4 linked regions of the Diceros bicornis minor genome follow. The protein of the gene in region 1 purifies or fractionates together with the protein of each later gene. This does not show direct contact. Links are inferred from orthologs where the notes say so. Each region holds a gene or a part of one and is shown in the gene's direction. Other genes may lie near its edges.

The links.
Region 2: the proteins of DNAJC7 (region 1) and PLD2 purify together in Homo sapiens (affinity purification with mass spectrometry; 3 studies listed by BioGRID and IntAct, counting the BioPlex papers as one, with this or other methods). This does not show direct contact. The link is inferred for Diceros bicornis minor from reciprocal best matches to the Homo sapiens genes DNAJC7 and PLD2.
Region 3: the proteins of DNAJC7 (region 1) and MLF2 purify together in Homo sapiens (affinity purification with mass spectrometry; 3 studies listed by BioGRID and IntAct, with this or other methods). This does not show direct contact. The link is inferred for Diceros bicornis minor from reciprocal best matches to the Homo sapiens genes DNAJC7 and MLF2.
Region 4: the proteins of DNAJC7 (region 1) and VPS13B purify together in Homo sapiens (co-immunoprecipitation; 3 studies listed by BioGRID and IntAct, counting the BioPlex papers as one, with this or other methods). This does not show direct contact. The link is inferred for Diceros bicornis minor from reciprocal best matches to the Homo sapiens genes DNAJC7 and VPS13B.

Annotation. Positions count from the first base shown.
Region 1 is NC_080757.1:41,231,776-41,239,805, reverse strand, and holds the start of DNAJC7 (dnaJ homolog subfamily C member 7), read left to right. Parts: upstream 1-4,954; 5' UTR 4,955-4,983; coding exon 4,984-5,060; intron 5,061-8,030. Other genes in the region: NKIRAS2 (NF-kappa-B inhibitor-interacting Ras-like protein 2), read right to left, coding at 276-517, 934-1,027. UniProt on the Homo sapiens protein: Acts as a co-chaperone regulating the molecular chaperones HSP70 and HSP90 in folding of steroid receptors, such as the glucocorticoid receptor and the progesterone receptor.
Region 2 is NC_080757.1:11,591,710-11,599,042, forward strand, and holds the start of PLD2 (phospholipase D2), read left to right. Parts: upstream 1-4,176; 5' UTR 4,177-4,235; intron 4,236-4,257; exon of another isoform or gene 4,258-4,585; intron 4,586-4,783; 5' UTR 4,784-4,784; coding exon 4,785-4,893; intron 4,894-4,978; coding exon 4,979-5,109; intron 5,110-5,211; coding exon 5,212-5,354; intron 5,355-5,788; coding exon 5,789-5,894; intron 5,895-5,987; coding exon 5,988-6,053; intron 6,054-6,193; coding exon 6,194-6,252; intron 6,253-6,388; coding exon 6,389-6,481; intron 6,482-6,572; coding exon 6,573-6,725; intron 6,726-7,203; coding exon 7,204-7,333.
Region 3 is NC_080756.1:54,978,516-54,986,562, forward strand, and holds the start of MLF2 (myeloid leukemia factor 2), read left to right. Parts: upstream 1-5,029; 5' UTR 5,030-5,119; coding exon of another isoform or gene 5,120-5,402; intron 5,403-5,747; 5' UTR 5,748-5,775; coding exon 5,776-5,825; intron 5,826-6,079; coding exon 6,080-6,206; intron 6,207-6,450; coding exon 6,451-6,486; intron 6,487-7,114; coding exon 7,115-7,168; intron 7,169-7,572; coding exon 7,573-7,701; intron 7,702-7,868; coding exon 7,869-8,028; intron 8,029-8,047. Other genes in the region: PTMS (parathymosin), read right to left, coding at 4,839-5,029, 5,120-5,402.
Region 4 is NC_080760.1:17,756,786-17,764,632, forward strand, and holds the start of VPS13B (intermembrane lipid transfer protein VPS13B), read left to right. Parts: upstream 1-4,734; 5' UTR 4,735-4,982; intron 4,983-5,022; exon of another isoform or gene 5,023-5,090; intron 5,091-5,457; 5' UTR 5,458-5,489; coding exon 5,490-5,636; intron 5,637-7,847. UniProt on the Homo sapiens protein: Mediates the transfer of lipids between membranes at organelle contact sites. Binds phosphatidylinositol 3-phosphate. Functions as a tethering factor in the slow endocytic recycling pathway, to assist traffic between early and recycling endosomes.

The DNA of each region.
Region 1 (8,030 bases):
GGACCTTCTTAGCTAAGTGCATGGAATCGTTATAAAAAAACACTAATGGGGGCTCATGCATTAGATCAGGGACCTCTTAAACTGAAAAGTCTCTTTGGCTGAGCTGCCTCAACATGTGGCCACCTCTAGGGGTGAAGCCACCCTCCAGTGGCCTCCATCCCCCCTCTAGCTGCTAACCCACCTCTTGGGAAATGAATGAAAAATAGAGCCAAGCCGAGCCTCCCCAAGGCAGCTCAGGGCCCACTCTCTCCCACCACCAGGGCTCCCACACACACCTCCTTCTTATCTTTGGATTTGTCGATTTCCTTCTTGAGCAACTCCACACGCTGAAAGGACTCTCGGCTATCTGTGCTGTAGACCAGGACGTAGCCATCAGTGCAGGAAAAGCAGTGCCGGGGCAGCTCAGCCCCATCTCGGAGCCCCCGGGTGTCGTAGAAACGCACCTGCTCCCGCACCCCCCGGTCGGTCTCAATGGAGCCCACGTAGATGTCCTCCTGCGTCTCGATCATCTCAGAACCTGGGATAAAATGAGAAAACTTGTTTGCAGGGAGGAGGGAGATGGGAAACATGGGTGACTGGGTATATCCTGACAGGCTGACCAGACAGGGAGAGAAAGAAATGTGGGGGCTGGGGAGAGGGGGCCAGAGACCGAGTCTGGCAGGACTGGAATGATTCGGGGGAAGATATTAATCTCATGCTCATACCATCCTAAGCAAAAGGGTAACTTGGGAGCTTTTCCTCCCCATCCAGGATATTGAGTTTCCTTCCTCCAGATTTCTTCAGTGTTGTAGGGTTGCGGGTTAAAATGTACATGTTCCTCTTTCGGGTGCAATAACCACCAGGAGCAGCTTTTAGCCTTTGTGTGTTGTGATCAAATCCTACTCCTTATTCTTCAAATTCTTCCACTGTTTCCCCGCCTGCAACAACACTCACCCACTACATGGTTCCCATACAGAAGCTGCTCCAGGATCGAAGTTTTGCCCACAGATGCCTGGCCACACACGACCACCTTGCAGCTCTTCCCCATGCTTAGCCTTCAACCTTGAAGAACAGAAGCACACTGGGTGAGGTGGGATCAAAACAAAGGGCAGACCTCCTATAATTGAGAGCCCAAGTTCTGAACTGAATGCATAGCCTTAGGGATTCAGCACTGACCCCTACTCTAGTCAGGGTGTATTGAAGTGATGTGTCTGTGTCCACTACCAGACAGGCAGCTGTACGTTACTGATCTTTGTTATTCCCAGTATCTGGCCAGGAACTGGCAGAGAGCAAGTGCTCAGTATATGTTGCCATAAAGAGAGTAGAGGGTCGCTGGTTTAAAGGAACCACTGGTCATGTTCTTCTCTGTGCACAGGATGTGGAGGACCAGTTGCTGAAGGGAGCTCTGGCTCAGCTTCCTCTCTTTAACCACCACCCCACAGAAAAATAAGCAGGAATACTATTTTGTGTGGATCTGTCTTAAGCCACTCTTCCTGGGGAAAATGAGCAAATAAGGAGGATATTCTGCTTTCCTGTATGACTTATCTAGGCGACAATCAATGACCTCTAATTCCCAGTCAAGTCCATGGCTAAGATGAAGAACATCAGACAAGAAAGACAGGAGTGAAGAAATCTAAGGGAAAAAGGCTTCGAAAAGGAGACAATTTTTTGTCTCCTCCTTACCCTCCTAAGGGTAAGTCTACCCTTAGACTGACAGACCCAGATGAGAAGCCTCAGACACAGAAATTCCTTCTCCGAAGAGGCCCCAGAGACTTCCTCGAAAGCATCCTAAACACAGGCTTCCCAGAAGAAGCCCCAGAGTCCCCCAGGGAGCAGAAATACAGAGATCACACTCAAAAGGGGTCTCAAACAGAAACCTCTCCAGCGGAAACTCCTGAGTCGGACCCTCCTCCCCACTCCCCCCCGAGGAGCCCCATGTATGTAGTGAGCCCCGGAATAAGGGATACCCATGAGAAAGCCAGAGGGGCCTCCGCCAGATTCCCCACGATGGGACCCCCAGAGGGAGTCAGAGGCCGCAGAAACTTGCCACCTAAAGCGGCCAGACACGGTAGCTGACCCTGGCCTGCCAGCTCCGTACCTCCCGGGGCCCTCGCAGCACCCCGGCCGGGCCCCTCGAGGAACGCAGGGACCGCAGGCAAGGCAGCACGGCCGCAAGGCCTCCGTTCTTCCGGGTCGAGCCAGGCTCTGCGGGCCCCGCCCCCTAGCTTTCGTCCGGCAAGACGAATTCCGGCGGCGGAGAGCGGGCACGGCCCTCACAGCGCCCCCAGACGCCGGCGGGGGAAAGGACGGCCAGGACCTGGGCTGGTTGAGCGCATATGATTCCAGCTCCCCGGACGCGGGCTGTTGGTCCGGTGGGTCTGATGACCAAATGTTCTTTCCCTAAAGGCTACCATAGTTCAGTAACACTTCATTTATTCAATCGTTTATTCATCAGATGTCTTCTGAGCACCTACTCTGTGTCAGGTACAGGACCAAGAGCTGAGAAAAAGCAGACGAATTATACACTGTAGCTGCCCATGAGAATGTCACCGTCTAGAGAAGCCAGACATCTAAACCAACAATTACAGTACAGTATGGCAAGAACTATCACAGAGGAGCTATGGGAGCACAGCAAAGGGGCATTTAACTTGGAGGCAGTGGGCATCATGGAGAGCTTCCTGGAGTAGGTCATGTCTGTGTTGAGGTTTAAAGGGCTTGGGAGGAAAGGGTGGAGAAAGCATGGCAAGAGTCATGGCATTTTCTGGAACTACAAGTACTTGAGTTCAATACTAATGGTAGAAAGGAGCCAAATAATCTTGGGTGGTAGGCCAAAAAGCTCAAACTGTATCCTAACAGCAGTGGAAAGCCATTGATAGGTTTTATGCTAGTGAAGTGATACGATCAATTTTTGCTGTTAAGAAGGTCATTTTGGCAGAAGACTGAAGATTGGAGAGAAATGAGACTGGGGGCCAGTTAGGAGATTTTGGTAGTATTCCAAGTTTTTAAAAAATGACGGGAACCTGAAATGGGATGGAAAGGTGATAGATTTGGGAGACATTTGGTAGGAGAATCAACAAGACTTGGTGGTAAGTTAGGAGTCAGGAGTGAGACGGAGGAGTTCATGATGTTTCCCATCTTTCTCACTTGGTGACCAGGTGAATGGTGACCCGTTCAACAAGATAGGGAATTCAGGAAAAGAGAATCAAGTACAGCATTTGTTTTTCAGTTGTTGAGGGGTGGGGAGAGAATGACAAATTCAATTTAAATATGTTAAGCTTGGGGCCGGCCAAGTGGTGGTTAAGTTCACGAGCTCCGCTTTGGCAGCCCAGAGTTTGCGGGTTCAGATCCCGGGCATGGACCTATGCACCGCTTATCAAGCCATGCTGTGGCAGGTGTCCCACATATAAATAGACGGAGATAGCACAGCTCTTAGCTCAGGGCCACTCTTCCTCAAGAAAAAGAGGAGGATTGGCAACAGATGTTAGCTCAGGGCTAATCTTCCTCACCAAAAAATAAAAAAATATGTTAAGCCTTGAGGATTTGTGAAACATCCAAGAGATATCCGGTAGATAGTTGAATATACAAATCTGGAACTCAGAAGAGAGGTCTAGGTTGGAGATATCAACAGAGCTGAGAGTCAACGACAGATCAAGTTAAAGCTGTGAGAGTAGATGAGTTGGCATAGATGCAGGGAACACAAAGTGGGAAGATGGTGCAAGACTGCCTCCCGCATGAGGCTGTGGACTGGGAGCCATTGGCAGGCAGGGCAGGTGGTCTGTGAGTCTGTGCCCTCCCAATTAAAGCAGGGAGAGTGGGCACTTTGGGAGGGCTATTGAATGATTAGCTGGATGGATGACCTCTCTTCCAACCCACTGAGCCTCTCCCATCCTCCCCTACTCAGGCATGGGTGTGGATTCCCCTCCCTTAGCACTGTGATAGGCAGTGACCATACAAGTAGCCTATGGACAAGGGCACACACTATTTTACTGGAGGAACAGAGTAGATCCTTTTTAAGTGCCCACGCCCCCTTCTTATTTTAGTTTTCCTTAGCTTAAAAATTTTAACCTCAAATTCCCCCAATTTAACCTCAGAAAACCCCAATTTAATTCAGGTCCACAAATATTGCTTTGGGTGAGGGAAGTACTACAAAAACGATTAGGCAGCGTCCTTGCCCTCTGAGTTCCCAATCCAGACTGCATTCGGCAAGACAAGCGCGCTGAGCAGCGAGTTTATCTGAGGGGTGGGGGTACGGGGGACACTGGGGCAGGGAGCTCACCCCGGGAGCTGCCTCATAAACTCCAGGGCAGGGTCTGGGGCTTGCCACCCTCCCTAGCCTTAATGCTGAGATGGCACTCCTAGCCGGCTGACACGAAAGCAGCCTCGTAAAAGGGTCAGCGTCATTAGAGTCATGAACCAGTTGACGCTTGCAGATCCGGAGGGGATGAAAGGCGCGGGGTGAAGACGCCCTGCGTTTCCCTGGCTTGGTTGGGCAGGGCTTCCAGGGGCCGATGAACGCTGGGGAACCGGGCTCAAAGTGTCTCTTCTTGCCTTTCCCAGGAGGAAGCTGTGGACACACTCCAAGGTCGGGAAGGTAGTCGAGGGTGCTCGTTCCCTCCAGAGTCCTGGGTCACTGGGTTCCCACCCAGCTCAGGCTTTCCGGAGCGTTACAGGAGACTCTCTAGGATTGGAGGTTGCTATGGCAACGAGGCTCTTGAAATACTGAGGGAAGCCAAAACCTAGAGAGGCTAGACCCTCCTATTCCGACCCACGGGTACAGTGGCGCCCCCTACGCACAGGAATCGTGCCTGGGCCCCCGCCCCGGGGCGGAGACCACCGTGGACCTCCGGGGGCGGAAGGCCGCTCTGGCCCCAAGTAGAGCCTCTCGCTGGTAGACGGGCTCGAGGGAGCCCCTCTGGGCGCAGCGCCGCCGAGCTGCTCGATGCTCCGACCGGAAGTGCTCTTCACCGCCTGCCTCCCACTCGGCTCTCTGGTCCCGGCGGTAAGATGGCGGCTGCCGCTGGGTGCGATGTGGTAATGGCGGCGACCGAGCCAGAGCTGCTCTACGACGAAGACGCGAAGAGGTAACCGGGTGACAGGGTAGTGGAAGGGACGAGCTTCTGCTCCGTGGCTCCGGGAAACCCGTCCCTGCCATGATGCAGCCCCTAGTTGTGAAGGCGATGCCCCGCCCTCCGCGCCCCCCCCATTTGAGATCGAGTCCGGATGGACCCCCTGAAGGGGCGCTCTCGGAGGTCGGCCCTCCTTCCCGCTTCCGCCTGGCCGGGGAGTTGAGGCACAGCTGTGTTCTCTAGCAGAGAAGAAGGTCGTCCTGACTGTAAAAGCCAGGTCCCTGAGGAGCTCTCAGAGGTCTGTGGCGGGGTGGGGGAGGCGGCGCGGCGACAATGACGACTGCCTTACATCGCCCCTGACCCCCGCCTTCTCTTGTTAACTTCTGTGCATTGTTGTCTGTCAGCATTTTGCATCACCAAAGCCTGTGCTGTCCTCACCCCCTTTTTTCCGTATTTATACCCCAGCGAGTCCTAGTCTGGGTCCGAGGTGATTGTATGTCTCCATTATTGACCTTGTCCTCCCTCCGCCCCCCGGTTACCCCAGAAGTCGGAGGTGATAGAGAAAGAAGGAAGAGTGAGGGGCTTGTTTCATGTCTACACGTCAAACTCCTTTTCCTCCATCCTCCTTCCTAAGATCTTCATTCTTCCAGGACTGTTCTTTCTTAAGCAGGAAGGAGGAGGGCAGCTCCTTGGGCGCTGTTGGCACTGCTGGGCAGCGGCAGTGGCTCGAGTTTGCCAGTCCGGACTAGCCAGGGGAGCTGCTGAGTGAGTGGTTTTCGAGAACGCTCTGGATTCTGGCTACAGCTAAGGCAGGTTGTTGGAAGTGGGGTTGGAACACAGTTGTGGGTAGTCATACTTGACATAATCCTGAAGCAGAATTAACGAAAAGGTTCTGGAAATTTGGAGCCCTTTCTTTATCAACTGCAGATTAGTTGACTACAGTTCCCTCAGTCTCCTTCCCACATATTTCGTATCATTATAGCAAGCTCATTATGGCTTCAGTCTGGGTGATTTGAGGTGGCGATGTAAATTAGTTCATGAGAACTGAAATCAGGATTCTGAGATCTTTTACTGTCCAAGTTAGAAACGTAAGAGGTACTCAGTGAGGCAGAATGAATGGTTATCCAGCTTAAGGGTAGTTACTGCAGCCAGTGTTCCAAGTTCCTGACCTGTTGGGAGCTGAGAGGCTTGACAACATGTAGTAGTAGGTCCCTGGGATGTCAGAGAAGTCAGGATGTCAGAGTCTAGTCTCTCTGTGTTTTTAGTATTGAGTTTTCACATTGTTCCTAGTTCTTTACAGGTATTTAGAATTAAGCATCCTCAGCATCGTTAAGGAACTGCAAAATAAACAAAGAGTTCAACACAGTTTAAATTAATTGTAAGGATCTACTTTGGGAAGAGTTTAGTCGTTCTTTGTGCTATAAATAGAGACTTGGGCTATATGTAATTAAAAAAAACTCATCGTAATCATTGTAAATCTCTGATGTAGGACTGTCTCTAATTTCAGTTTCATTTCAAAGCCTCCTATCTAAAGTAAGTCTTTTTCCTTAAAAAAAAAAAATTACAGCCTTAGAGGGTATTCTATCATAAAACTGTAGTAAATGAGCCTAAAGATAGATTAAAACACGTAAAACAGGTGATGTTGTAATGTGAGCGTGTTATACAAAAACATATGGTATTTGGTAGCAGTTTAACAAAATAGGAGAGGGCCGGCCCTGTGGCTTAGCGGTTAAGTGCGCGCGCTCTGCTGCTGGCGGCCCCGGGCCCGGATCCCGGGCGCGCACCGACGCACCGCTTCTCCGGCCATGCTTGAGGCTGCGTCCCACATACAGCAACTAGAATGGATGTGCAGCTATGACATACAACTACCTACTGGGGCTTTAGGGGGAAAAAATAAATAAAATCTTAACAAAATAGGAGAGGATGTTGACTTATGTTTTTTTTTTTGTGAGGAAGATCAGCCCTGAGCTAACATCCATGCTAATCCTCCTCTTTTTGCTGAGGAAGACTGGCCCGGAGCTAACATCTATTGCCAATCTTCCTCCTTTTTTTTTTCCCCAAAGCCCCAGTAGATAGTTGTATGTCATAGTTGCACATCCTCCTAGTTGCTGTATGTAGGACATGGCCTCAGCATGGCCGGAGAAGCCGTGCGTCGGTGCGCGCCCGGGATCCGAACCCGGGCCGCCAGTAGCGGAGTGGGCGCACTTAACCGCTAAGCCACGGGGCTGGCCCTTGACTTATGTTAACTGCCTTATTTCATAGAATTTAAGATGTCATTGTAAAATGCACAATTTTTAATCTACCACTAAGAAAAAATAATTAAATTTAACTGAAAAAATGCTTTCTTACCAAATAGACTTACATGTTATACATATTTATACGGATATCTTTTAGACATAATAAAACAGATGTTTATTATATACCACTTAGGTGTGAGCAAATCAAAAGGAAAATATAGTGAAATAAAAAAAATCAGTTTGACTTTCTGCCATATAAGGCATCCTTAGGAGGGTAAACATTGAGATCCATTATTAAGAAAAAGCTTTGTTTACCTATGGATTTCCAGTGCTGAAAGTGGAGTGGGGATTTAGAAGATTTGGAGGAAGGTTGTTTTACATTTTACACATATCCTGGAATCCTCCTGTGTAGGCATAGCAAAGGGCAGGGATAGGAACTCCTTTACAAGTGCCCTTTAGTATCTGGCTTGGTTAGTCATTTGACCAAGTTTCTGTCTCTCATTACAGTCCGACTACCAGTTCATCTGGGGACACGGAAGTTGATGGGTCTCTTGGGTTGTTTTTGTGAAGTCCAGCCTGGAGTCCTTCCTTCCTTGTGTCTTGGCTCAAGGACATCCTGCTGCTGCTGCTAAATTTTTACTGTCCCACAGGAGGCAAAATGAGAGAAGCTTGCAAGACCCTGGACCTCGTGGTTGCAGCATTTTAAATAGCTACATGTTTCATTTTCTTAGCTTTAGTGTCTCTAGAG
Region 2 (7,333 bases), about 30 Mb from region 1:
GATTGGCCCTGAGCTAACATCCATTGCCAATCTTCCTCATTTTGCTGAGGAAGATTAGCCCTGAGCTAACATCTGTGCCAGTCTTCCCCTACTTTGTATATGGGATGCCGCCACAGCATGGCCTGATGAGCAGTCTGTGCCCAGGATCCAAACCTGCGAACCCCGGGCTGCCAAAGCAGAGCGCGAGAACTTAACCACGAGGCCGCTGATTCCGGCCCCACATGTTATCTCATTTAATCACATCAATGATCCTTTGAGGTAAGTATTATGACTATCCTCATTTTACAGATGAGTGATAAGAGGCACTTAGAGATTACGTAACTTGCCCAAGGTCACACAGACAGTTATCATCAGAGCAGGAACTCAACCCCACCCCCATCAGTAGACCCCAGCGTTCACTGTGTTTACTACCCCACTGAGCTTCCCAAGCATGTCCTTGGTAGGCATTGATGCCTTCAGCCAGGTCTGGGGGGTCCAGAGCACCCTAGCCAGGGATTCTAAATGCCCTCCGCTAAAGCTGTGCAAATGCTATATTATCATTCCCTATGGGTGTCGCGATGTGCGAAAGGTTGGGAAACACTGCTGATTATACTGTACTGCCTGACTCAGACAGAAATCTGGTTTTTTGTTGTTGTTGTTTTTCGTGTGTGTGTGTGTGTGTGTGTGTGTGTGAGGAAGATCAGCCCTGAGCTAACATCCATGCCAATCCTCCTCTTTTTGCTGAGGAAGACGGGCCTTGGGCTAACATCTGTGCCTGTCTTCCTCCACTTTATGTGGGACGCCGCCACACCATGGCCTGACAAGCTGTGCTTGGGTGTACCCCGGGGATCCCAACCAGGCCGCCAGCAGCGGAGTGCGCGCACTTAACCGCTACACCACAGGGGCTGGCTCCAATGATTTTTTGTTTTTAAATCAACTTTATTGAAGTAAAAATCCACATAGAATTTAATGCACACATCTTAGTGTACAGTTCAATGAGTTTTGGCAAGTGTATCACCACGCCCGTCAAGAGACAGGACATTTCTATCACCAAGTTCCCTGTGTGCTGCTTTACACTCAATCTTTTCCCCACCCCCTGCCACAGGCAACTACGGATCTGATTTCCATCAAAATAGATTGGTTTGGCCTGTTTCAGAACTTTATATAAATAGAGTCATTTAGTATTACTCTTTTGTGTCTGGCTTCTTTCAGCATAATGGTTTTGAAATTCATCCACGTTATTTGTACTAACAGTTTATTTGTTCATGTTTTTTGTAATAATAGCTTTATTGATATATCATTCACATAGCATAAAATTCACCCTTTTAAAGTATACAGTTCAGTGGTTTTTACTCTATTCACAGAGCTGTACAACCATCACAACTAATTTTATAACATTTTCATCATCCTCAAAAGAAACCCTGGGGCCCGCCCTGTGTCCTAGTGGTTAAAGTTTGGTGGGCTCTGCTTCGGCAGCCAGGGTTCGCTGGTTGGGATCTCGGGTGCGGACCTACACCACTGATCAGCCATGCTGTGGGGGTGACCCACATACAAAATAGAGGAAGATTGGCACAGATGTCAGCGCAGGGCCAGTCTTCCTCAAGCCAAAAAAAAGAGGAAGATTGGCAACAGATGTTAGCTCAGGGCCACTCTTCCTCAGCAAAAAAAAGAAACTCTGTACCCATTAGTAGTCACTCCCCTGTCCTCCCTCTCCCCAGCTATTGGCAACCATTCATCTACTTCCTTTCTGTATGGATTTATTTATTCCAGACATTTCACGTAAATGGAATCATACAATAAGAGGTCCTTTGTGTCTGGCTTCATTCACTTAGCATAATGTTTTCAAGGTTCATCCATGTTGTAGCATGTATCAGTACATCATTCCTTTCTATGGCTGAATAATCTTCCATTATAGGGCTATACTGCATTTTGTTTATCCATTCATCAGCTGATGGACATTTGGGTTGTGTCTACTTTTTGGCTATTTGAATAATACTATTATGGACATTCACGTACAAGCTTTTGTGTGAATGTATGTTTTCAATAGCCTTGGGTATGTACTTAGGAGTGGAATTGCTGGGCCTTATGGTAACTCTCCATTTAACATTTGAGAAACTGTTTTCCAAGGTGGCTGCACCATTATACACTTTATTCATTTTTATTGCTGAGTAATGGTCCATCTACCACAAATTCATCAAAATCAAAAACTTTTGGGGCTGGCCCGATGGTGTAGTGGTTAAGTTCATGCTCTCTGCTTTGGTAGCCTGGAGTTCACAGGTTCGGATCCCAGGCGCGGACTTGTGTACCACTCATCAAGCCATGCTGTGGCAGTGTCCCACAAACAAAATAGAGGAAGATTGGCACAGATGTCAGCTCAGGGCTAATCTTCCTCAGCAAAAAGAGGAAGATTGGCAATAGATGTCAGCTCAGGGCCAATCTTCCTCACCAAAAAAAAAAAATTTTGCTCTTCAAAAAGCACCATTATTTTAAAAAGACAAGCCATTATTATGGGAGAAAATATTCGCAATACATATATCTGATAAAGGATTTGTATCCAAAATATATAAAGAACTCATAATTCAATAAGACAAATAACATAGTTTCTGGGCCGGCCCCGTGGCTCAGCGGTTGAGTGCGCGTGCTCCGCTGCTGGCGGCCCGGTTCGGATCCCAGGTGCGCACCGACGCATCGCTTCTCCAGCCATGCTGAGGCCGCGTCCCACATAAAGCAACTTGAAGGATGTGCAGCTATGACATACAACAATCTGCTGGGGCTTTGGGGGGAAAAATAAATAAAATCTTTAAAAAAAAAGACAAATAACAGTTTCTAAAAAATTAGCAAAAGACTTGAACAGATACTTTACAGAAGATATACAAATGGCCAATAAGCACATGAAACATGGTCAACATCATTAATCATCAGAGAAATGCAAATAAAACTGCAATGATGTACTATTTTACACTTATTAGAATGGCTAACATTAAAAAGATTGACTATCGGGGCGGCCCCCTGCCTTAGCGGTTAAGTGCGCGGGCTCCACTGCTGGCTGACCCGGGTTCGGATCCTGGGTGCGCACCCACGCACCGCTTGTCCGGCCATGCTGAGGCCGCGTCCCACATACAGCAACTAGAAGGATGTGGAACTATGACATACAACTGTCTACTAGGGCTTTGGGGAGCAAAAAGGAGGAGGATTAGCATGGATGTTAGCTCAGGGCTGATCTTCCTCACACACACACAAAAAAGATTGACTATCAAATGTTGGCCATGCTGTGGAACAAGTGAAACTACCATACATTGATTTCGGAAATGTAAAACAAAACAACTATTTTGGAAAACAGTTTGGCAGTTTCTCATAAAGTTGAAATGCACTTATTACACGACCCAGCAACTCCACTCCCAACATATATCCACACAAAGACTTATACAGGAATGTTTGTTTGAGCTTTATTCACAATAGACAAAAACTAGAAACAACCCAAATGTCCATCATAAGAAGAGATAAAGAAATCTGCTTTAGGAAAAAAAAAAATATTTTGTCTTTTAGAACCTGAAAATTTTCGTGTTTCCCCCTCGACTGTAAGTTCCAGGAGACCAGTTCCGTGACTATCTTGTTCACTAATGTACGCGCAGCGTCCGGCAAGGAGCAAGTGCGCAATAAATGGTGAATGAATGAAAGAATGCAATCTTGCGTACATTAATGAATTTGTGGCCACCATCCCTTGGCCTTTTATCATTCCTTCCACCTGCAATCATCTAGGCCAGGCCCGATGTGATTCGCAGCCGGCCCGTGAAGGGGGCACCCGCAAGTCCCTGCCGCGGAGACGCATCCCGCCGGGAGCCCAGGCAGCGCCGGCGGCCGGAAAGGGCCTGGGGGCCGCATCGGAGCGGAGGAAAGTACGCAGCGTCGAGCGCCCAGAGGGCGGCGGCGGGCACGCTCGGACCAACGGCGCGAGACAGACGGACAGACCGCTGAGAGAGCCTGTCGGTGGCACGAAGCGGGCGCGCGGCGCCGCAGCACAAAAGGCGGCCCCCGGCCAAGGGCTGAGCGCAGGACGGCGGGGCGGGCCGAGGGCGGCGGGGCGGGACAGGACAGACGAGAATCCCGCGGAGGTGAGGCCGGGGGCTGTCCCGCCCCCGAGGGCAGGCCCTGAGCGCCGACCCCGCCCCGGCCCGCTGGGGTGTGGGCTCGGGCTCGGGCTCCGCTCGGCTCCCTCTGCTCGCGAACCCGCGCCGGCGCCGGCTGGGGCTGCCCGGGTGAGGGGACCCGGGAGGGGGCGCCGCGGAGGTCCCGGGCCCTGGGAATTGGGCGGGGACGGGAATGGACCCGGGCTGTGGCTCCTGATTCAGCCGCACGCTCAGATTTCGGGGTTTCACTCCCGGACGGGGAGCGCGTAACTTCCTCATTGCCGCCTGGACCCCTTCTCCTGGCCAGCCGGGCCTGGCTTGAGCCCCGGCAGCTCCGGGCCCCTTCGTCCTCCCGGGGCCCCTTCCCCTGCCTTCTGCTCTGCCCCAGTTCGGGGCCATCCGGGCCTGGCTGGGTGTTCTTCGGCGCCCTGGTTACTGGACGGGAGGCGGGGCTCAGGGATTCTGGATGAAGGACCCAGGTAGGGGATGGAGGTTAGAGGCGGCTTGGTAGTGCCTTGCAGACTGATGGGCCGTAATCAAAGAGACGTTGGGAGTTGGTGGGGTCCAGGTGGGTGGGGCAGAGGGGGACCTATGGGAGATGGAGGACCATGGGGGTAGGATGAGGGGCAGGGTTCTGCAGGGCAGATCACCTCCCTGAGGCCTCCCCGTATTTCTAGGATGATGACGACCCCCGTGACCCTCTTCCCCTCCGGGGACGACCTGGACTCCAGCCAGTTACAGATGGAGCCCGATGAAGTGGACACTCTGAGGGAGGGAGAGGACCCAGGTACACAGGGAGGACCGCCCTCAGGGAGAGGAGGAAGAGGGGGCTGAGACCTCCTGGGGTCTATACTCCTCCACTTTCTTCCCAGCTGACCGGATGCACCCCTTTCTGGCCATCTACGGCCTTCAGCCTCTGAAAATGCACCCCTTGGTGTTCGCCACTGGGGTCCCTGTCACAGCCCAGGTGGTGGGCACTGAAAGATACACCAGTGGATCCAAGGTAGCTGGGCTGGTGCCAGGGAGGGGGATAATGGGAGGGCTGGCCAGAGTAGGGGGCTGTGACCCAACCAGGGGACATCCATTCAGTTCTTCACACCCCCAGGTGGGAACCTGCACTCTGTATTCGGTCCGCTTGACTCATGGTGACTTTACCTGGACAACCAAGAAGAAATTCCGTCACTTCCAGGAGCTGCATCGGGACCTCCTGAGACACAAAGTCTTGATGAGTTTGCTGCCTCTGGCTCGGTGAGGGGGACCAAACTGCTTCCTGTGATGGGCAGGTTGCCCTCACCCTGTGGCAGCATGGGCTGTCACTGCCCCAGCCCCCATCACTCCTTCCTGCCTGTCTCACCCCTAGGCCACAATCTTCCCCACCCCAGGTACTGTCCTCCCCCAGCTCTGGCCACTGGGCCCCCTGCCCTGACCCCGGTTACCAGGAAACCTTCTCTGCTCAGCTCTCCCTGTCTGTGGTTCTGTGCCAGTATCTCAGCTGGGCTGCATGCCCAAAATGCCCGTGGCAGCCTCCCCTGTTTTCTTGTCTCCATTCTCAGAGTAGGGGGCCTTCCTTCTGTGAGCCTCTAGGCCTCCTCCCCTGTCCAAGACCCCATGTCCAGTGCTTCAGGAACCCAGGCACTCAGCCTCCCAGCTCTTTCTTAACCCTCACCCCATCCCTTCCACAGCTTTGCCGTTACCCATCCTCCAGCCCAAGAGGCAGGCAACAGAGAGATGCCCTCCCTTCCTCGAGCAGGTGCTGAAGGCTCTGCCAGACATGCATCCAGCAAACAGGTGTGACCAGACCTCAGGTCCTCTGCCAAGGCGTTTGGTGTGCAAACGGCTCTGGTCCCATCTCTCTCTCCCTGTCTCCCATCCCTACTTTAGAAATACCTGGAGAATTACCTCAACCGCCTCTTGACCATGTCTTTTTACCGCAACTACCATGCCATGGTAAGGTTCCGGGGCTGGATACCTGCGTCTTTTGAGGTGGAGCAGAATAATCAGACCCCCGAGGGGCAAAGGATTAGGGTCAGTAGGGTCTGAGGGGCTGAAAACCAGTCTTTCCTCTGAGCCTTTGTCTTCCTCTGCAGACAGAGTTCCTGGAAGTCAGTCAACTGTCCTTTATCCCGGACCTTGGATGCAAAGGACTGTGAGTGTCTGACACTCCTCACCCAGCCATCTGCAAACATCTGGATCTCTCCCTGCCTGAGAATGGGAAAAGCAGTGCAGGGTGCCCTGGGGGTCTGGATTCCTCAGCCAGCATCTCTTCCTGATTTTCCCCACAGGGAGGGGATGATCCGGAAGCGCTCGGGTGGCCACCGTGTTCCTGGCCTCACCTGCTGTGGCCGGGACCAAGTTTGTTACCGCTGGTCCAAGAGGTGAGGCCTGAAGTGGAATAGCTGGGCAGTGGGTGGAGTGAGGAAGGCGATCCGAGGGCAGGGAGGAACGGATGGAGCCCTTCTGCTCCAGGTGGCTGGTGGTGAAGGACTCCTTCCTGCTGTACCTGTGCCTCGAGACCGGCGCCATCTCATTTGTTCAGCTCTTTGACCCTGGCTTCAAGGTGCAGGTGGGGAAAAGGAGCACAGAGGCCCGGTATGGGGTCCGGATCGACACCTCCCACAGGTAAGGCCTCTCTGGCGTGGACAGACACCTAGTGAGCGAAGAGCCAGCTGAGGGCCCTCAGTGGGGTTGAGCAGAAGAGACCAGGGAAGAAAAGAAGGCATTGCCACCCGCCTGGAGCTGGCCATGCTTTGGAACCAGGGAACTAGTCTGGCCAGTTCCCTGCTTGGGACTGCTCTTAGAGTCTGGGCTTAGAGAAAGGGGGTTGAGTATAAGCTTGGAGGAGGGACTCTTGGTGTAAAAGAAAAGGAACTCCATTCATTAATTTATTCATTCAACAAACCTGAGTGCCTAGCACAATACTAGGTGCCTGGGACCCAACTGTGAATAAGGCAGATAATATGTCCTGTCCCTATGGAGTTGTGAATTAGGGACTAAGGGAGGAAATGGGAAAGAGGAGATGGCTAAAGTAGGGAGGTTTTTGAGCTGGGCCGGAGGCGTGGAGGGCGAGGATTGTGTCCATCTCATTGTTCCTGTCCAGGTCCCTGATTCTCAAGTGCAGCAGCTACCGGCAGGCGCGGTGGTGGGCCCAGGAGATCACTGAGCTGGCCCAGGGCCCGGGCAGAGACTTCCTGCAGCTGCACCGGCATGACAGCTATGCTCCACCCCGG
Region 3 (8,047 bases), on another chromosome or scaffold:
TGGATTTAAGTCCCACTGCCACACGCGCCTCAAACACTGACGACTCTCAAACCTCTATCTCCAGCGCCGACTTCTCGCCTGAGCTCGAGTCACGACTCCAGTGCCCTTCTGTTCATCACTCCCTAGGTCCTCCATAGCTCTTCGAACCCCACATGTTCCAAGAGAGGTTCCCTCGTTTTCTATTTCAGTTAAAGGTACTGTCCTCCACCCGTTCACTCATGCCAAGGAGTCATCCGAGACCCACCTTTGCTCTCCTTGCCTAGAGCTTTCACATTTCACTTTTCGAAGATTCCTTGAGTGCCTCCTCTTCTCTCCAAACCCAGTCCTGCCTTTGCTCCAGGGGTCACCATCACTCCCTGACTTTAAGCTTAATTAATTAGGGTTTTCAATCATGATTTAAGAATTTTTGTATCTTCAGCACCTACCTCCCTACTTGGTACATTGTAGAAGCTCAAACATGTTTCCTGAAATGCATAAACTGCCTTTCTACCTAAAATGCAAAGAGACACTTGTAATTTCCCTACATAAAACCTTCTGATAGCCTCCTCAGGCCTATAGGATAAAGTCCAGAAGCAAAGAGGGCCCTTCAAGGTCTGTTCCCTTTTAACCTCTGTAGCCTTATCTCTTACCACTGTTCCCTCAAAAGTTTTGCTTCAGCAGTGTTTTGTGTTTTTTTTAGTGAGGAAGATTGGCCCTGAGCTAAGGTCTGTTGCCAATCTTCCTCTTTTTGCTGAGGAAGATTCGCCCTGAGCTAACATCTGTGCCCATCCTCCTCTATTTTGTATGTGGGATGACCACAGCATGGCCTGCACCCAGGATATGAAGCTGCAAACCCCAGGCCGCTGAAGCGGAGCACGTAAATTTAACCACTACGCCACTGGGCTGGCCACTTCAGCAGTTTTTTTTTCACTCCTCATAGTTCTTCCCAAATGGGGCATACCTCTGTGCCCTTGTATTGATCCCATTTTCTGCCTGGAATGCTCTCCGGCTCTGCCTCCCCCCCCCCCCCCCCCCCCGCCCCAAATCACTCACTCCGTCTTCTGAACACTTTTGCCCTTTTAACATACATCTTTCTATTGTGGCCTTCATCACAGGATTATAATGGATTCCATTTGGGCACCCTCACTAGGCTGTGAACCCTCTTGGGCAGAGACCATGTCTTACTTGTCTTTTCATCCCCAGCACCTAGCACTATGCCGAGTGCACAGTAGGAGCTCAATAAATATTTATTGACATGAACTACCGCACAGGTGGCACAAACTTCAATCCTGCACGTCCATGTTAATCATGAGACATCCTGCCTCCTTCAGGATGTCTTCTTGAAATGATCAAAGGACAACAGGAAGTTCTTCCAACTTAAAACTCCAATGCTAATGCCAACCATTAACATTAGCATATCTACCCAGGATGGTCTAACTAACATCTAATATCTTATGGTAAAACTAGGTATGGAATTCACTTATTATTCCTGTTATTCACATCTCCTCCTATTTTAGGTGGCTAGCTTCTAAAGGTAAGACTGTCTGGGTCAGTTATCCTGTGTAGCCACGTGGTCAGGATCTTCCAGCCAGACACAGTTTCAATATATTCTCAAACCAGTACCTATATGTACTCAGTACAGTGTGGCAAGCCAAATGGTCATTTATTTCTCATTCAGTTGCCCAGGTCAAAAAAACCTTGGAGTCATTCTTGACTCTTCTCCCTGATACTGCATCCATCCATCAACAAATTCTGTTAGCTCCATCTTCAGACCATACCTAGAATCTGACCACTTCTCATCACCTCCACTGTTTCTAACCTACTCTAAGCCACCGTCATGTCTCATCTGGATTATGGCAACAGCACGCTAATAGGTCTGTTTCTGCTGTTGTCCCCAATACTCTCTTCTCCATACAACAGCCAGAGTGATCCTTTTGTAGGTCTTACAAAGTCCCACATGATCTGGTTTCCTTCTTTCTCTGACCTTGTCTTCTACTACTGCTCTTCTGTCATTCATATCAGTCTAGGCACACTGGCTTCTCTGTTGGCCCTTGAACACACTAAGCATAGTTCTGACTCAGGACCTTTGCACTTGCTATACCTCTGCCCAGAATGCTCTCACCCCAGCTATCCCTCACCTTGTTAAGGTCTCTGTTTAAATGTCACCTTATCAGTATGGCCTTCCCTAGTCACCCTAAAAAGCAACTACCACCTCCTAGCTGCTTGCCTGTTCCTCTTTCCCCCTTCTACCTCGCTTTATTTTTGTCTATATCATTACTATATCTCCAGAGCCAGGAACAGTACCCGACACATAGTAAGTACTAATTCAATAAATATTTGTTGAGTTGATGTGGATATAAAAACAAACTGAAAAGCTTATTTTTAAAAAATTCTCCTGAGTTACTCACTCTGATCTGGTGTCCACTGTACAACCCACTCATTCTACCTGAGGCACCTCCGTGCTAATTTTCAGGGTGTTTCTTCCTCCCCCAATCCATATGCACATATACATACACACATACACTCAGTCACACCCATTCACTTTGGCTCAGGTAGGAAATCCAGTCTCTTCTAACTCCCACATCACTGCCCCATCCTCACTCTGTTCCAGTATCCAACTGCCCTGGGACTGCTCCAGACCTCCCATCCAAAGAGGGCCCCTTTTCTGGCCCAGCTCTGCTCTCTCAAGGACTTCCTGACTTTGGCTCCATCAGATAGAGCAGTGAATATAGGAACCACTTTGTTTCTCTTCCTTCCCAACAATCTTTATCCTCCTTGTGTTAAGCTTCAGCCCTGGCAGGGCCCACTCTCTCTCCTACATCTTATCATCTACAGGACATTCCAGTGACTGAGGAATTTCTGTTCATCAGAGTTCATTGGACAGAGATGGGAGGGAGGGAGGGAGGGAGGGAGGGAGGAAGGAAGGAAGGAAGGAAGGAGGAAAAGAGAAAGGCAGGGAGGGAGAAAGGAAGGACAGAGATGAAAGGAAGGAAGGAAGGAGAAAGAGAAGGTGGGAGGAAGGAAAGACAAGGGAGGGCAATGGAGAAGGAAGACAGACACAAACTCTGGTTCTGGGGGAACAGAATGATTACATCCCTTCAATTCCTGGAGTAGATGGCCGCCTATATGGTAAGTCCTTGAGGACTCTGACAATGAGCTCTTGCATCTCCTCCTTCATTCCCACCTGTTCAAGGATTTCTTTTTAACCTGAGACAAAGCCCAGGTTTGGAGTTTTGTCTCAGAGTTAGAAAGCTAAGTTGTAATTTGTAAATATTCCTAGGAGAGGTAATACATTGATTTAAAATCATGCAAAGGTAAAAATGGCTGATATCAGAGTCTTAAGTTTTGGAAGAAAGAAGAGAAAGGGCTTTAGGCACCTAAAGGCAGTAGGTAGAGGATACCAGCTAATGGAAAAAGAAAAAAAGGAGGAGGCTAGAAGCTAAGTTGTATGTCCAGTTCTGTTGAAGGATGGACATGATGGAATGAGAAGAGAGAAGCTGGAACTTGAGCTTCCACTTAACAGTTAAGCCTGGGCTGTAGAACTCTCACTGGCGTAACTTGATCACATGTCAAACTGCTTTTGTTTGGGGCAAGAGAAAAAGGGGCACTTGCATGGTGGGATCTCCAGAGACAGAGCATCTGGAAGATAAATCAGAAAGACTTTACTGCGTCTTTTCCCCAAAAATATCAATGAAAAACAAATTTTCTTTTATTCTTTGTCTTTCTTTGGCTTTGCCAGTCTGCCAGTTTCTAAATTATCTGTCTCTGTTCCCCTATCTCCAAAGAAACCTGAGAAGCCCTGCTCCCACCTGAGTCACCAGAGACCCCCTCCTCCTTCTCCCCCAGGGAAGTATTGGGAACAAGTCTTTCTCATTGTAAGGCTCCACAGAACATAAATATGGCTAGCAGCCAGAGTAAAGAACCAGAGAGAGCTAAAGGTTGGATGAGTCTGGTTTAAAGTCCATCTTAGTCCAAATCCCCTGACACCCAGGAGGAAGGCCCTTCTCTCCAGCTGGGCCAGATTTTATGCAAGACATTTAGTATGTCAAAGTATCAGTCTTTGGCCTTGGAGTCAGGTCTCCTGGGTCTGTTTTCACCTCCGCCCCTGGGTGATACGGGTTAATGGAGCTCTCCACCCTTTCTTCTTCTCTCAAACTTCAGACCCTTGACCTACCTACCTGACTAGAGGCAAGTAAGATCAGCGCAGGACTGGGAGCTCTTGAGGACACAGGAGTTAGAGAAAATAAAGGGGAGACTGGCACTAAACTAAAGGATTTCAGAACTAGAGCCTTTCCCCTGGCCGACCCTTCACAGCAGGGTAACTGAGGGTTCCAGGAGCCTCTCCCAAGCCAGTTCCCAAGGGGCTAGAGTTCCAGCCTGGCCGAAGAGCGCCATCTGGCGGCCAGTACCCCCCCCCCCCCCCCACTGGATTCTCCTTGCCCTATCCCGAGTTCTCGCAGCCAGAGCTAGACCTGGGCAGAACTGTCACCTCCTCCTCTACGTCACTCCGAGGACCCCGCCCTGCCTAGAATGCACCTCCCCCGCAAAATTGCCGCCCTTCCTCCTCCCCGGGCTGAGCGCTTCTCCGGTAGAAAATCTGCTTTAAGCTCCCCGTAGGGATCCGCCCCACTTCCTCGCCCACAGGGAGCCCGCCCCTCCCCCATGGGAATCTGCCCCGGGTCCTCTTCCTTCCCCCAAGGGAACGTGCCGCACCGCCCTCCCTCCTCCCCCGCCCCGGCCCGCCCGAGGAGTCCACGCCTCTGCTCCTCCCCCACACCCTTACAGGGAGCCTCTTCCTGTCCACAGAACCCAAATCCAGGTTACTAACGAGGCTTCCCCTCCCCTCGTCTCCAGCGAACCCCGCGGCCCCGGATCAGCGGCCCCGCGCCCCGGGAGCGCGCCCTCGCCTTCTCCCCACGCCCACCAGGAGGCGGAGCTCCGCGGCCCGGCCCCCCCCGGGGGGGGGGGCTGTCCCATCGTGACGTCACTTCCGTCCGGGCCTGGCCGTGCTTCGGGCTCCGTGGGCCGAGGGGGGGGACGGAGGTGGCAGCTGTGGGAGGAGGCGGCGCGGGAGGCCGAGGAGCTCACGACAGGACCAATCCGGCGTACCGGGCCGCAGCCCTCCGATCCTGCAGTGCACCGAGAGGCGAGACCAGCCGGATGGGCCGCTGAGCCCGAATCGGGGACCGGTGAGCCTGGAGCAGAGCGGGCAGCCGGGTCCGGACGGGAGCGGGCCTGCAGGGCTGCAGGGTCTGGGAGCCCGGGATGCCGGGAGGGGAGAGGGTCAGGCCTGCCTCTCCTGTGCGCCCGGCGAAGGCAGGGGTCGGGGGAGCCGCCGGCAGGCGCGGTGGGGATAGTGAGGCCCGCCCGGGGGAGGCCTGGGAGCGGCTGGTGTAAGGAGGGGGCGGGGTGGTTGGGGTCATTAATGGGGCGGAGGGCCAGCATTGGGGATTCGCATCCGGAGCAGTGGCGTCAGGGGAGGGGCAGTATGCTTCTGGCCTAGGGCTTCGGGAAGAGGATGGCTCTGAGTGGGGAGGCAGAAAACTGAGAGGCTTGAAAAAATTTTCCATGGCCCTCCTTGAGAGAGGGATTTGAAGAGCTCTTCTCTCCCTAGAGGGTGGTGGTGAACACCTGGAGAAGGGTCTTACTGGAGTTTAGGGGGTCAGTTACAGTATAGGGAAGGGACAGTGTTCTGAGAGTCCCTACTCTGAGCCGGTGTGCAAAAAGCCTGGCCGCCTCCAAGTATTTGAGCCTTCACATCTTTACAGTGTGGAGCCCCCTGGAGCTAAAATCAGGATGTTCCGCTTCATGAGGGACGTGGAGCCTGAGGATCCCATGTTCCTGATGTAAGTACTCCCCCCCTCATGCTCTAGAGCACTCATCCCACTCCACTTCAGGGCTCTGAGTAATTCAGACAGACATCTGGGTTCCCATTGCTGGCCCTGATTGGAACTGGCTGGATACTCAGCTCCAGCCCGGACTTAAAGAGGATACAGACATCTGTGCCATTGTTTCTCTACTACTGTTTTCTTTTTTGGGGGTGAGCGGGGTGTTGATTACTTGGTCCTTCTACCATCCATACTGTATACTCACTCCACAGGGACCCCTTTGCTATTCACCGTCAGCATATGAACCGCATGTTGTCAGGTGGCTTTGGATATAGCCCCTTCCTCAGCATCACAGATGGCAACATGCCAGGGACCAGGCCTACCAGCCGCAGGATGCAGGTAATGGTGCTGCGATATGCCTGAGACCCAAAGACAGGCTGGAGGGTGGTTAATAAAGCGCTTGATTTGTCTTGTACTGCAGCCAACTTAGCAAGTGGAATGATCTTCTAGAAGTGGGGAAAGGGTCTGGGAAAAGGGCTTTGTGAGAGGAGGACAGAAAGACAGCTGAAGCCGTGGGCTTGGTTTGGGACTGTAATAAGATAGGATGAGGTCTCTAATTCCTGTTCCTTACCTGTTCCTGTAGGCTGGGGCTGTCTCCCCCTTTGGGATGCTGGGAATGGTGAGTCCTCATCTCCTCATATCTTTCCATCTCAGACATACTCTATACCCTTAGATGTTATTTCCAAATGTGCCTCTCTGAAATAGCCTTGTGGGTAACCCTAGAATCTTTTTATAGTGTTCACAGAGCTCTGGGCCTGCTGGGTGCTAAGACCTGTGAGTTAAAGATGCTAACTTATTGACTCTTATACTTCTAGGAACCATATCCATTAGGAAAATGTAATTGTCTAGCAAAGTTTGTTCTTTTGAGGAGGGAGGTGAAGTTGAAGGGCCAACTTGAGATGATTTTTAGAAGTCTTTTTTTTTTACAATTTCATGCCTTTATAGGTTAGAATCCATTAACTTTGGCTTGCTTCCTAAAGATAGGGGGAAATAGGGCAGTCAGGAGAAGGGAAATTGGATCCGAGCAGCCGCAAAGACTGAGGAGGAGGGCGGCAGTATGGAGAAGAGAAACATGCAGATAAGCATGCAGTGTTCTGGTCATGTTCTCCAAGAATGAGAAAGAGCAGTTGCTAGATGTAAAGGAAGAAGAGAAAGGGAATATGCAGCCACGTAGCTAGTGGGTCCCTGAACAAGATAAGCTGAACGCTGACTTTGCTTTCCTGACTGTTCTCCATCTCTCTCTCTAGTCAGGTGGCTTCATGGACATGTTTGGGATGATGAACGACATGATTGGGAACATGGTGAGACTCTTGCCCCATACCTTTTCCAGGCCCTGCTCTCAGCTCTGGCCGGCAACACCTTGAGTCCTCTGAGGCAGGAGAGGGAAAGAGTGTGCTAGTGAAGGGTTCAAGCGGGGTAAAGGAATTGAACCCAGAGAGCACTGGGTTCCTGTATGTGCTCTCGTGCCTGAGTGAAGCAGCAGCAGCACTCTTATTAAGTATGCAGTTAAGGCTCAATCTCTTAAGATCCTTCTTGTTTATTGTGGACTCAGAGGTATTTGGGGGTAATGATGAGTCTTGATGTTTTCTCAGTTCTCAAATTTTGTGAGAAAGATACGGGCAAGAATAGGCAGCTGAAGTGTGGGGTCCCTTCTCCAGAGGGGAACCCCTCCCCATTCAGTCCTGCTGTACCCTTTCCTCCCCAGGAACACATGACGGCTGGAGGCAACTGCCAGACCTTTTCATCCTCCACTGTCATCTCCTACTCCAATACTGGTGATGGTGCCCCCAAGGTCTACCAAGAGACATCAGAGATGCGCTCAGCACCAGGCGGGGTGAGTGGAAGGGCTTCTAGGCCAGAGAAGGTGGGGTTGAACAGCACCCACAGAAACCCTGGCTTTGTTTTTCAGGATTGGGTTGTGGGTGGTTTGTCTGTCCTGGGCTGGCACAGCCAGGGCTTTGGAAGGGGCAGCTGAGTGTGCTGTGTTCTGCCTCACCTCAGATCCGGGAGACTCGGAGGACTGTTCGGGACTCAGACAGCGGACTAGAGCAGATGTCCATTGGGCATCACATCCGAGACCGAGCTCACATCCTCCAGCGCTCGCGAAACCACCGCACAGGGGACCAGGAGGAGCGGCAGGACTATATCAACCTGGATGAGAGTGAGCCTCCTTCCCGCTC
Region 4 (7,847 bases), on another chromosome or scaffold:
TAGCTTTCACTTCCTGCTTGTCCCTTCCCCTGATTTATTCTTCCATTTCTTCTTCTTCAGAGGTAATTACTATCCTGAATTTGGTGTTTATCTTTGTCATGAAAGTATTTAATACTATTTCTAAATATATATGTGGCCATCACAATATATAGCATTTCTTTGAATGCCATAGGTATGTACTGTCACGTGCTGCATAATGATGTTTTGGTCAACAATGGACCACATATATGACAGTGGTCTTGTAAGATTAGTACCATATAGCCTAGGTGTGTAGTAGGCTCTACCATCTAGGTTTGTGTAGGTACAGTCTATGATGTTCACACAACAACGAAGTCACCTAACGACACATTTCTCAGAATGTATCCCTGTTATTAAGTAATGCATGACTGTGTGTATACATACATATATATATATGTGTATGTATACATACTACGATATGCTATACTCTGTTATTTTTCCTCAATGTTATATTTTTCAGATTTTTTAATGTTGATAAATGTGTAACTTTGTTTAGTGTTTTTTCAGACTGTGAGTTGCAAACCATTAGTAGCTCACAGTATCAATTTGGTAGGTCGTAAACTACTTTACAAAAAATAAAGAAATAGAATAACAGAGAAAACAGGATGTATCACATGTACTCAATCTAAGTATAGTTTTGTGAGGGTTCTCTATACATATATATGCATATTGAGTCATGGTATAAACTATATTTCTAACTGTAGGTAAAATATTTGAAAGTCATAGTTCTAACTCATTCATTTTCACTACTATATAATATTTCATTATATGAATATACTACAGTTTAACCATTTTTCCTGTTGATATTTCAATTGTTTCTACTGTTTTACTACTACAAACAATGCTGCAAAATATTGTTAAACATGTCTCTTTGTGCACATATGCAAGACTTTCTCTATACCCTACAAGTGGAATTGCTAGAGTATATGCATCTTCAACTATGCTGGATATTCTTAAATTCCTCTCCATGTGGAGTTTTCACTAGCAGTGTATTAGTTCCAGTCATTCCATATCATTGACATCAGACATCAAAAATGCTGTTAATCTGATGGACATGAAATAGCAAGTCACTGTTGTTTTAAATTTCATTCCCCTAAATATTAGCAAAGTTGAATATGTTTTCTTGTGATTATTAGACATTTGGGTTTCCTCTTTTATGAATTGCCCATTTTTCTATTGGATTGTCTTTAATTCATTAATTTATAGTTCATTATAAAATCTGTATTCTAATCTTTTGTTAACTAATATATATTGCGAGTATCTTCACCCAGCCTGTGGCTTGTAACCTACTTTAACATGTTCTTTGATAAACAACTGCTTTGATTTTCATGTATAAAACTTCTTAAGCTTTTCCTTTATAGTTTGTCTTCTTTAAGTATTTTTGTCTTATTTAAAAAATCCTTCCTCTCTGAGGAATAACAATTTTTCTCCTATAAATTAAAAAATTTTCCTTTTCACATTTAGTTTTTAATCCATCTGGGGTTTATTTTTGTGTTTGTTGTGAGCATAGATACATTCACCATGAACCTAACGAAGCTTAAGCTTCAGAGACCATTACTTTCACAAGCCATTTCTAAGGCCCTGGGAGAAGCCCAAGTAATGTGTTGTATATTTTTATACAATTTTGCAAAAGTAAAATGTTTTGTTTTTCTTAAATGGGTATCCCCAAATTATAAATATCAGGCTCCATAAAACTTGGACTTCACTCTTAGGTCTTAGGTAGGAATCTAATTTTAATTTTCTTCCACATGGATAGTAATTGTCCCAGTACCAATTATCGATATATGCAAACCCTTTCCCTTTGGTTTGTAGTGCTACTTTTGTCATATATCAAGATTCCATAAATGAGGAGGTTTATTTCTGGGCTCTTTATTCAGCCCCATTGGTATACCTGCCTATCCCTTCAATTTATTTTGATCTAGTAGATGTTTGTAGGACTGTTTCTGTCCTCAGGGTCTTAAACTAGGCCATTCCACTTGTGGTAGCATCCATTTATTTTAGTGAGTATTACAAACAAGGAGTTCCTGATTTTCTTTGAAAGACTTAGGTCAGTGGAAAAAGTACATTGTTTTGCAGTTGGATAGAAGTCGAACCCTGCCTAGTTCTAGTCTCTGACACTCTGGAGAGTAATACTACTTCTTTAATAGGAGGTAACATTAAAAAATTATCTGTAGCTGATAACTCTCCTCTTAAGCCTTGACTGATTTTCTCACATAGTTCTACATGATTTTTTCACGTCCTACAGCACTTTGTACATATTTCACTTAATCGTATAATATTTTAGTCATTTATATCTGTGATTCCAATGAAACTGAGCTTCTTCCATGCAGGCACGCCTCAGTGCCTAGCATGGTGTATACTACATAGTGGGAATTCAAAAAATGTCTTTGAGTTAATGAATAAATTCAGAATATGAAACTAACATATTTAAATATTAGCATAAAATGTAGCAACCATGATTATTATTGATTTCCTACCAATTGGACTTATCAGCTATACTGTGCCCAGCTTTCATAGTGAGATAACACCTATATGACTTGGACAGAGACTTGTTTACAGTTAACTCTGACACTACATTAAAAATCTTTAGGGGCTGGCCCCATGGCATAGTAGTTGGGTTTGATGCGCTCTGCTTCAGCTGCCTGGGTTCACGGGTTTGGATCCTGGGCGCGGACCTATGCCACTTGTCAGCCATGCTGGGGTGGTGACCCACATACAAAATAAAGAAAGATTGGCATAGATGTTAGCTCAGGGCTACTCCTCAAGGAAAAAAAGAGGACTGATAACAGATGTTACCTCAGGGCGAATCTTCCTCAGCAAAAAATAAAACCTTTATGTGCTGTAACTATTTAGGAAGCTAGTCAGAAGTGTTTGGGGCAGCTCCAGTATGTGTATTACTCTAAACCCAGATAACTTCCTTTGTTGTTCTATTATTATAGTAATTAATGGTTTTTTTTCTGTTTCTTTTTTTTTCCTTCTCAAAAGGGGAAAAATGGAGACTTGAAGTCATAAGTGTTGGGTTGATTAGCTGTGACCATAGGTCACACTTAACGTTAACTTAACCTTCACTTAACCTTTCCATGTCTGAGCCTCCTCATCTTGCCATACCTTTTGTTATAAAAGAAACGAGGTATGGGGCCGGCCCAGTGGCATGGTGAACTTCGTGCACTCCGCTTCGACAGCCCAGGTTTTGCCGGTTTGGATCCAGGGCACAGACCTACACACCACTCATCAAGCCATGCTGTGGCAGTGTCCCACATACAAAGTAGAGGAAGATTGGCACAGATGGTTAGCTCAGGAACAATCTTCCTCACACATACACAAAAAAATGAGGTGTAACATGTAAAGAGTATTCAATGAATAACTCACTGATTGTCTAGGCAAGTTATATTTTACAATTTAATTAATAAAATTTGACAATTTAATCAAACAATGATAATGTAATGAGTAAATCAAGTTACAATTTTAATGTTTCTGAAGTAACCAAGTTGAATAGATTAAGTTCAGCTCATGTCTATTATCTATCTACCTATGTGATAGCTAAAATAACACTTCCTGCTATAAAAGGTAGCTTCAATCTGTTTGCCTTTCAGGTGAAGCAGATAACTAAGAAATTACTTAATTTACTTGGCCAATTTAGTAGGTCTTAATAATACCCAAATTACTTGGGTTATTCATTAAGACTTTTGTGACGGGACAGTTGCTCTGAACTAGCAATTAGCTGCTTCTCTCTTTTTTGGGGGAAATTTAGTTATTATTTTCATTAACAAAATAAATCTAAACATCTTGGCATCCTCACTTATGCTTCTTTTCTATTGCAGTTTCTAAAACTTTCAAGAAATCATGACTTGAATTCCAGGAAAGAGCTTTAGGAATTTACTCATGAAGTATTTTCAATTAAATGCAACTGACAACATGGATATTTTAATAACTTTATAAGGAAAGTCTATTTTCAAAATGCAGTAGTAGGTGTTTTCTTCAGAAGCTCTTTAAGCTGTATATTTTTCCGAGTTAGGTGTTTGAATTTCTTGACTTAGGTTGCAAGTTACAAGAAGGAAATAATTTATACATTAATTTCAGCCTAATAAAGCCAACACTTTCTCTTAAAACTCTAAATTCATTCCTTATCAGCTATTTCTCACTTTGTCTCTAGGAGTCTCATTTTCTTCTGATAGACGCGCCGCTTTTCTGAAGTCCCATATCAGACTGTGCTCCAATGGTTCTCCACAATCTTCTCTGACCAGGCCTTCCCCGCCCCGCATCAGCAAACTTGGGAATACTTAACCATTGCTTCGCCAAAGTAGAAGAACGCGAGAGCTTGTCCACACGTTTGGTCAAAACGCAGTCCCCTAAATCACACATGCTAATCCCTTCAATTTCTCTTTTCACATCCACCCTTCTTCCAGCAAACGAACCTCAGATCTAAATTTAAGTCTGCCCCCCGCCCCCACCCCTGGCTTCTCCTACCTGCGGCCTTATTGCTATTGCCCTGCCCACTGAACCCAAGTTGCAACTCCCAGGCCTTCCATTTCGCAAGGGAAACAATTACTACTTGTTTCTCAGGGTTTTAAATACTAGGACGTGCTTTCTTCTTCCTCATTGGACCTGCGGCCCTGCGTGCTTTCCCCCGGACTCGACCTTCCACGACCCACAGCCACTCTCTTCTCGGAGCGCCACTTCCGGATCTGCGGTGTCTCCAGTTGAGCGGTCCGCCCACCTCCTCGGGGCACTTCCTAGAGCTTTGTCGTAACCACTGGTGGGGTCGAGAGGAGACGCAGGCTAGCCGAACGTAAGAGCTCTCCTCCTAGAAGGGGCCCTGAGTGGCTTCTCCAGCCAGAGAACTCCGGTCCTCCTGTGGAGTCGAGTGGTGGCGGTGGAGGGACAGTTTGTTTTGAGCACCGAGTGAGGCACACCCGGAAGTGGCTCCGTAGAGGAGCTGCGCCGCTGCTGGGGGCGGCTGCCAGGTACGGGAGGTGGAGGGGACGCCATGGTGCTCTGGCGTGAGCGTCAGCCGAGGGTGCGGTACGGCGCGGGGCGGGAGCCGGCCTGCTTCTGCTTCTGGCTTTACGGTGGTAGATCCGGCTGGGATCCGGGAGGCGAGGGCCTCGTGGGGCGGCTGGGCTGGGGAAGGGGTGCGGTGACCAAAGGGGAGCCCGCTCACTTCGTTCTCCCACTCCGGGGGGGCCCGCTGTCTTCAGGTCACCACCTCTTCCTCCCACTCGTAGCCAGGCGAGTTGAGGGGAGTTGTACCAATGAGAAAGTTGCATCTGGAGCCGAGAATCCACTTGAGTTTTCTCTGCTTGTGTGGGAGGAGGCGAGCGGCCGCTTTGGTGGGGACTGTTGCTTTTCGGCCTCTTCAGCCTCTCCAGAGATATGTTTTTTCCTTCGCTTCACCACCGACTCAGTTACTTCTAATATTTCTATCTTTACCCCCTTCAGCTTCTGACTTCGACTCCTCTGCACGTTAAAAGATGCTGGAGTCATATGTTACTCCAATTTTAATGAGCTATGTGAATCGCTACATCAAGAACTTAAAGCCATCAGATCTGCAGCTTTCACTATGGGGTGGAGACGTGGTTCTCAGCAAGCTCGAGTTAAAGTTGGATGTGCTGGAACAGGTAAGCTGTGTAGTGTCATTGATTGGAAACATTTTCAGCTTGTTTAGAAGTAAGCCGTTGTTTCCTACGCTGTACTTTATGCTTTAAAAACTTAATTTTTCTGCTAACGTATTTTGGGCTACCCTGAAACTAGAGACCTTCCTTTACAGAATTTTTTTTTGTGGTTTGTTGCTAGTTTGTTAGAATCAGGTTCCCAAAAGTTGTCTCAACAGATGGAAAAACAATTTCGTTGCTGCTGTTGTCAGAATTGTTCAGCCTATTTACTCAATTCTTAAGATTTACCTAATATGCCAGTTTACATTGCTAAGATTCTGTATTATGCTGGGAAATAGTACATTCCCGTTCTCCTTTTTGGGGAACAGAAGAGTCTGAAAGACAGCAAGGTCAGATCTTGAGGAAAGTTGTGTCTCGTAGTAGGAAAGATGGCATTACCAATGGCGTCCTAAGTGCTGAGTAGACACAGATTGAGAATGCCAACAAGATTGAAAACTTTTTTCTTAATCACTTCTTTTTAGTTCCTTTTCTTTCTTTTAATGTGAGAATGGTCTGATGCAAATGAACTGTAGCTTCAAAGTTCATATACTTATTATTAATTCACTTAGTACATTTATTACTAACATGTCAGGCAACTTTACGGCTTGAAGATACAAAAATTATCTGTGGAAACTCAGAAGAGTAAGAGACCAACTGCTTTTTAGGAGATAAAGGAAGACTTAATCTGATGGTGATAGTTAGCAGTAATTTTTAGTTATATTCCACTGCTTCCTTTATTGAATAATCTAGAGTTAACACTGTGCCCAGCTTTCATAGTGAGATAACACCTATATGAATTGGACAGAGACTTAATACTCTTGGCTCCTTCCCCTTTCTCTCTCCAAGGTTAATTATCTTAATGTTTTATTTTTTTAAATGAGCACAAATCCTAAGTATACAGCTCAATTTTTACATATGGATACACCTGTGTAACCACTATCCAGATCAAGAAACAGAATATTTCCTGCACCGCAAATGGCTCCCGTGTGCCCCGTTGTAATCAGTGCCTCACCCCTAAAACAGGTGACTGCTAGTCTGACTTCTATCAACATAGATAAGTTTTACGTGTTCTTGAACCTTAACTAAATTGGAATCACTTGTGTCTGGCTTCTTTCTTTTAACATTATGGCTAAGATTAACCCATGTTGGATGAGGGGTAGTTCTTTGTATTGCCTAGTAGTATTCCATTGTATAAAGGTTCACAATTTAGTTATTTCTTTGCCTATTGATGTACATTTGGATTGTTTCTACTTTTGGCTATCATGAAGAAAGCTCTTATGAACATTCTTGTACATGTATTTTGGTGGACATAGGTATTAATTTCCCTTAGGTGTATACCTAGGAGGTAGGCATTTGTTTAGCTTTAATGGATGCTGGCAAATAGTTTTCCCGAGTGGTTGTACCAATTTACATTCTTACCAGCTGTGTTTGAGAGTTCCAGTTACTTCACATTTTTCCTATTTCTTGGTATGTTTGTTATTTTAATTTTAGCCTTTTGGGTGGGTGTGTAGTGGTATCTCATTGTAATTTAAAATTGCATTTCCCTAATGACTAATGATGTTGAGCCCCTTTTCATGTGCTGCTTATTGGCTATTTGGATATCCACTTTTGTAAAGTCTCTAATTCTTTTGCCTTTTTTTTTTTAAATTGGATTTTCTGTCTTTTTCTTATTGATGTGTCCGAGTTCTTTATATATTTTGGAAATGAGTCCTTTGCCAGATAATGTTTTGCAATATCTTCCCCTAGTCTGTGGCTTGTCTTTTCACTTTCTTAAAAGTGCCTTTTGATGAAAAGAAGGTCATCATTTTATTGAGGACCAATTTATCAATCTTTTCCTTTATGGTTAGTGCTTTTCATATCTTGTTTAAGAAATCTTTGCTTACTCCAAGGACATGAAGATATTCTCCTATATTTTCTTTGAGGCTTTATTGTATTCTCTGATTCATCTAAAATTAATTTTTCTGCACGTGTGAAGTAGAGGTCAAGATTCACTTTTTCCATTGATACTCAGTTGATCCACACCATTTGTTGAACCATTTCCCTACTGCATTGCAGCAAGTCTTTATTGTAAATCAGGTTGTCATATGTGTGTGTATTTGTTTCTGAACTCTTAATCTCATCAGTGGTCTGTCTATTCTTGTGTCACTACCATAATGTCTTTTACGGTAAGTCTTGATA